2 linked regions of the Schizosaccharomyces pombe genome follow. The protein of the gene in region 1 interacts with the protein of each later gene in a pairwise test. Each region holds a gene or a part of one and is shown in the gene's direction. Other genes may lie near its edges.

What was found. Proteins that work in one complex are often made in the same cells at the same time.
Region 2: the proteins of rrp9 (region 1) and gmf1 interact in a two-hybrid assay, tested with the Schizosaccharomyces pombe proteins (one large-scale study listed by BioGRID).

Annotation. Positions count from the first base shown.
Region 1 is NC_003424.3:3,327,639-3,331,898, forward strand, and holds rrp9 (U3 snoRNP-associated protein Rrp9), read left to right. Parts: upstream 1-1,702; 5' UTR 1,703-1,723; coding exon 1,724-3,298; 3' UTR 3,299-3,578; downstream 3,579-4,260. Other genes in the region: DNAJ domain-containing protein Erj5, read left to right, coding at 1-171; geranylgeranyltransferase type 1 beta subunit Cwg2, read right to left, coding at 302-1,369.
Region 2 is NC_003424.3:2,023,702-2,026,552, forward strand, and holds gmf1 (actin regulatory protein gmf1), read left to right. Parts: upstream 1-1,549; 5' UTR 1,550-1,633; coding exon 1,634-2,059; 3' UTR 2,060-2,351; downstream 2,352-2,851. Other genes in the region: protein Ddb1, read right to left, coding at 1-741; cytochrome c-heme-linkage protein Cyc2, read right to left, coding at 2,462-2,851.

The DNA of each region.
Region 1 (4,260 bases):
GATACGGATAGTGATGGACAGATGGAAGATGAAGAGAAAAGTGATAGTGTCCATAAATCTAGCTTCTCCAGTCCTTCGAAGAAAGAGGCTTCCATAAAAGCCGGAAAGCGACGAATGAAAAGACGAGCAAATCGAATTCCACTTTCTAAAAACACGAATAGAGAAAATTAAAGTTACTGAGTCAAATTTATATTGTTAGAGTGTCTTTAGGTTTTTATAGTCAAGTGATTGATCACGTTGTTTCTAAGTTAATAGTCTATTGTTTAGTTTTCTTCGACAATTCATCATCATAATATAGTTATCATTTCCCCTTGGCTGCTTGAATACAGTCTCTACAAATGTTTATATACTTGGAAGTCATATGTATATCTGCATTTACTTTAGGAAAAGACTTATCATCTTGATAAGCCATTGCATATAGACCAAGTGCAGAATGTAAAACATCAGGAAACTCACCTGGTGTTTTAGAAAATCCGCCCAAAGCATGTTGAGCATGCAATAATAAATATTTTTCCAACTCACCCCCATCGATAAAAGGCAGAGCATCAAGGAGTTTTAATGAACTCAAAACCCAATAAGCATAACAGGTGTCAACGTCTTTATTCGTCCTTCCGTTTAATCCTCCAGATGATAATTGTCTAGAAGCTAACCATCTGATAAGGCGTTCTACTTTAGGCACACAATCCATTAAGTTATATGATTGATTAGAAGTATTCAAAGAGGAATTTGGAATCATTTTCAATATTAAAGACCATGATGCTAACGCGCAAAATGTAGCTCCAGCATGGGCTTCGCCGTATGGTAACAAAGAAAATCCGCCTTCATAGCGTTGACAGCTTTTAATATATTGGATAGAACATAAAGGGTCAGACAGAGAGAAATCAAGAAGCGAAGCAATAGTCGTAGCCATATATAACTGTCGCATGTCTTGGTCCGAACATGATGGCACAGCAATACTTCTAAAATGACCCTGCGAAGTTTTGCACAACTCCACAAAATTCTTAATTAAATCGCGGTCGATACGAGAAAGATTATCGCCAAGAAATAAAAGGCAACAAATTGAAAACACAGTCCCAGCTAATTGCGGCTCCTGTTCGAATGAGATGGGTTGAATGCCAGTTCTATACGCCTGAAAACCGGAGTATTTGATTCCTTTAGATTCTTTCGTTACATAGTTTTTGTAGATCCACTCGATCCAACTTTTTTTATCGTCATCATCTATGGTGTTCAATGCATTTAGCAAGTCTAATCCTAATAAACAAAAGAATGCTAACACTGTTCTTTCGCAATCGTGTTCTTCGTATGGAGTAGGAAATAGTATAAGATGTCTCTTAAAGAAAGCAATATGTTTAGCTCTTGTTAATTCCATTGGACCATAAATAGATGCGCCGATAGCAGAATTCTATAGATGTCAATAGAATAGTAAGTCTTAAAAATCTATCGAACAAAATTGGTACAAGAACGATAATTATTTTAAGCTTAAAAACAAAAAAACGCGACAAGGTATTTTGATTTATAGTAATGAGCAGATATATTTCTGTAATGATTTGTTCATGAAAAGAAATTCGGTGAATTAGCTCGGTAAACTTCGGAAATTTCTTGTATGGATCACCGGACTTTTTGTGGAGTATGCTCGGAGAATAAAATTAAGTCACCGGCAGTATACCATATAGGTGTTTGAAGATACAGAAATTTACGAACCGTTGGTACCCTTAGAGAAAGCATGTCTGATCCTTTCTTTACACGTCCAGAGCATAGAAAGAGGAAAGCTAGGAGTGCTACTTCAAAAAGAGAAAAAGAGAATCAAAAATTGGAGAGGAATGGACCCGCTAATGAAGATTTAGCATCTATATCATCAGAATCCGAATTCAATGGCTTTGAGGACGAAATTGATGAGGAAAATGAAGATACTTATGAGACTGCAGCAGAAAAAAGGCTTCGATTAGCAAGGGAGTATCTAGACGAGGTCAAGAACGAACTGGTCGAAGATGGAGGTTTCGATGCGAAAGAAGTGGATCGTGAATTGCTTGCAAGTCGATTGAAGGAGGACGTATTAGAAAAGAAGGGACAAATGTATTTAGACTATACTTCTAAAATTAATCCTGATGTAAAAATCGAAACAGCTCAGCTGCGAGGCCGTCACATGCGTCCGCTAGTTGGAGTGGTAGCATACGAAAATTTTGTTTATAGTGCTGATAAATCGGGTTTGATCCAAAAATGGGAAGCTTTGCAAGAAAAAGATACTGAAAATAGGGAAAATGACGATCATGAAATTGGGAAAGCTATAAAATTGCACTTCAGACCGATCAAATTCTCTCGCAGCCGAAGAGGAGAGAACGATCATGTAAAAGAAATCACTTGCCTAGCAATTAGCAACGATGGTCGTTGGATCGTTACTGGAGGTTTGGACCATCGAATTGTCATTCGTGATAGTGTGACACTTGAGCCTCAACATTGTTGGAAACATCATCGGGACGCAGTAATGGGATTAGCCATGCGAAGAGGAACCAATGAAATGTTTAGTTGTTCCGCTGATCGATCCATCAAGGTATGGTCTTTGGATCAAATGTCTTATATTGAAACGCTATTTGGACATCAGGATGTTATTTTTGGAGTGGATGCATTAGCTCGGGAAAGATGTGTCAGTGTAGGTGGTAGAGATCGGACATCGCGTCTGTGGAAAATTGTTGAGGAGTCTCAACTGGTATTTCGTAGTGGAGGTACTTCTATGAAAGCAACTGCAGGCTATATGGAAGGTAGTGTGGATTGTGTGGCAATGATTGATGAAGACCATTTCGTTACTGGAAGCGATAATGGAGTTATTGCACTTTGGTCTGTTCAACGTAAGAAGCCTCTTTTTACATACCCACTTGCTCATGGACTAGATCCCATTCTAGCTCCTGGGCGTCATTCCGCTGAGACGTCTCCAGATCCTGTCACTATACCTCCTCAACCTCGATGGATCACTAGTTTGGCTGCTATCCCATACTCCAATCTATTTGCTTCTGGTTCTTGGGACGGAAACATCCGTTTATGGAAGATAGCGGAAGGCCTTCGTTCTTTTGAACCTTTAACAATCGCTACTCCGTTGTCAGTTTATGGCTGCATCAATTCCCTTTCACTTTCTTTGCAAGGAAAAGGTAAACAATCAGAGGTAAGAGTATTCGCTGCTTGCGGAAGAGAAACTCGCGTTGGTCGTTGGAAAACCTTGCGGGGCATCCCTAATTCAGGCTTCGTGTTTAATATCCCTTTAACGGTTATTCCTTCTGTTACAGATGGTGACGAGATTGATGAGTAGTAAAGTTGCAAAATAAAAGAACTTAGCTTTTCATTATTTTTCATATAAGCGGTTATGAAGCAGATGTGATGGATCTCTTATTACTGTGTTTATCTTTTCCTGGTGTACAAAAAATTTTAATTCATGGAACGGAATTTTGGGTTGGATTTAATTTAAAAGTTTAGATAAAATACGGATTTATTAGGAAAAAATATACAAAAATGAAATTGATTATTAAAACGAACAATGATGAACCATGTCTTTCAATTCGGGCTTTTCTATTTGGGTTCTTTAAATGTTTTATAAATTGAAAAAAGAAAAAGAAGGATGAAATAGTTTGTAATAAACGAATGAACTTTCTTCTTCATCAAATGCCGTGCATTGAAATGGTGCATAATGAAATTATTGAAGCAAAATGAAAATATCAAAATCGTTAAACCGAAGTTTTGTTTATGAGTATTGTTAAAATCCTATTAAGTTTTACTAGTTCTTGCTATCACTTTGTTTACCTCTTGCCCCAAATTGTCCTCAATATTACTTGTCTTAATAATGGTAATCAAAAGCCCTTTTTTTAGTTTTTAGTATCTTATAGATTCTTTAATGGAGTATAGACCTTTTAAAAAAGTCGTTCTTTGGAATTCTCCTAGACTCGTCAAAAATGAAATACATGTATCTTTGCATGAAAAGTTGATGGACTTAGCAAAAAGCGCATATTGGCATAATACTCTATTTTTTAATTTGGAATGAATTTTCTTTAACAAATGACAGAACCTAGAATCGTAAATATTTAAGATTCCTAGGTTGTTTCCACTTTATAACTTCGACTGTACTTTCTTGACAAACCAAAAAACGGTTTTTTAATATACTAATATCACTAAATGGTACTTATTTGCTCCCGCAACTACGGTTATCTTTGGTTTTCCAAATCCCGTTACCGTGACACTTTGCAGATATGGTGGTAATATATTTTAATAAAGATATAA
Region 2 (2,851 bases), 1.3 Mb from region 1:
ATCTTTACTTATATAGTATACATACATCTCCCCGAACACAAAAACACCACCATTCTCACTAGGTATCAATTTACCTTCCTCAATGTCATGACAAACAACATCATCCTCGTCGATTTCTTGTTCACGAACGTTTATTTTGTACGTAGAAAGATGCACAATCGACTTGCTATCCTTGTAGAGAACTGCTAAAGATGGACGGGATGAGTTATAAAGCATGGCTATGTCGACAACATTTAACTCTTGAATCCGCACACTAAAATTATCATGCAATGAAGGATTGTTATGAGAAGTCATAAATCGTTTTTTTGACTTAAAAATTGGGATAATAGTCAGTAAACCCTGATATACATGTAAACAAATAACCCGTTGAAATGGATCCACTAACAGCAAAGGTCCAGATTGACTTTCCCGAAGAGACCTTTCACTGCAATCCTGTATCTTTATTCCATTAGAAACAGTGTTATCATTGGCATCCCAAAAAAGTGTAAAATAACGAAAGGAATCTGTTGCAACGATTATATGATCTGTCGGGGATGAAACAGGCTTAAAAGCTTTTACATTCACAATTTTCGCAAAAATATTAGCAGAAGTTATTAAACATAATCGATTATTTTCATAGCTATAGACTTCCAAACAATTTACTTTAGCCACTATTACGTTCCAGGAGGATGCATTGACAAATTTACAAAACACGGCGTTTCTTATAGAAGAAGGCTTGTGCAAATAAGTAACATAAGTCATTTCTTACAAGGGCAATACCAGCTTTGTAGTAAATGGCGACACTGCCTCGGCTTCTCGTTTTTAAAATATTGTCAGCATAAAGCAAAAGTAAAAGGGCTTCAAATTGCTGTACAAATTATCCTATATATTTTAAGTTTGGATTTTGGAAGACGTTAAGATTATCGAACAACGATGTTGATGGTTTTTGGGACTTTTTCTAAATGCCAAGTGGGTGAAGTGGGAAACCCAGATTTACTACTCCAGACATAGCATGGTGCGGTGTAGTATGTGCTTTTTGCAAGAAAATAAACTTTTACACCTAAGCCTATTATAGAGTAAAGTTTACATAAGTACTTAAATTTAAGTGTTTGATTTATTACCGCTCGACTTCGAGCTGCTAAAGTAATACATTTTTATCGCTTCGTCGTAAAGTATTATTAGCTAGTCCCGATGACCAAAGACTTTATGAATGTTATTAAAAAAGTGATTGCATTAACAGGATATTCTTAGGAATATTAAAAAAAAACATTAGTTCGTTCAATCTTAGGTATTATATAATATTTATCCTTAAGTATCCTCTTTTTTTTTTTTTTTTTTTTTTTTTTATTTATCAAGTTGTAAATATAACACAATGCTTAAATTTGCCAATTTACGAACTTCAAAGATATCACATACGTGGATATAGACTTTTTGAATATAATAAAATTGATGAATAATTTGTATTTAAAAAATCAATAATTATCTATCAAAACTCAAAAATAAATTTTTAACTCCTAGCATGAATTTAAATATCTTTTAGGATTCTGCACGAACGGTATTAATTCAACCCAACAAAAGCACCACCCTCGAAATTAAATTTCCTTAATTGGCTATTGCTGTGGTTTTACATAAATATTATAAACTAACAAGAAAGATGTCATCAGAGGCTCGTATGTTCACCATTTCGGATACCACGATGAAAGAAATTGATCGATTTCGTTTGCGGTTGAAGAAATCAGTTATGTATGCTTTCATTCTCAAGGTTGATAAAGCTACTAAGGAGATTGTTCCCGATGGAGAAATCATGGATTTACAGAGTATTGAAGAGGTCGCAGATGAACTCTCGGAAACAAATCCTAGATTTATCCTTGTTTCCTATCCTACCAAAACCACAGATGGTCGACTTAGTACTCCATTGTTTATGATATACTGGAGACCAAGTGCTACCCCAAATGACTTATCTATGATTTATGCTTCTGCTAAAGTCTGGTTTCAAGATGTGTCGCAGGTGCACAAAGTATTTGAAGCTAGAGATTCTGAAGATATTACTAGTGAAGCAGTTGATGAGTTTTTGCATTAATGCTTGTTTATATGCGAGTTGAAAATGAACCTTTCCCTCGTTCACATTTTATGCAATTAATTATTTAAAGATATTTTGCTTGTATGGGCTTTCTTTTTGACATACTATACCTGCTTAGCAGCAGATGCATAAACCCTCAATAACAATTAGATTTAATGGATAAAAATTTATACACTTAGAAACTTTTTAAATACTATTTTTTTTATTTTCTCTCCATTACCTAAGAAAACCGCTCCATTTCATTGATAACACGTAACGTTTAAGAGTTCCCTTATTTGTATAAATTTATTTCCAAATCGGTAAAAATAAATTATTTGAAGATAAACAAAAAAATCGTTTTTGTATTATGCACAATTGTCCAAAGATCGTGCAACCCAAAATCTTAAGCCAAAAATTTCTAAACTAAAGCTTCCAAACTTTCCCAAACGGATTGTTTGATAAAAGTCCTTTGACTTCTCCTTGTCTTGCGCCATAATCAGCCTTCGGTCCGGCAATTGTAGAAACAAACTTCTGGCTACCGCAGACAATGCAAAGGGTATCCTTTAAAGGAACTGTAACATTATCCCAATCCAAAATGTCATGAATGTTTACCAAACGATTTTGGACGGACTTCACCCTTACGTTTGGGCATTCCTTTTCCAATTCTTCTTTTAGCAAAGGGGGCTGACCAGGCCTTGAGCAGTATACAATATCGACTGGGGATTTAACAGACTGAGCTAATTGATATATAGGAGCAATTCCTGTTCCTGCAACGATAGCTACGATTCTTGGGTACTTCGTACAATCGAGTTT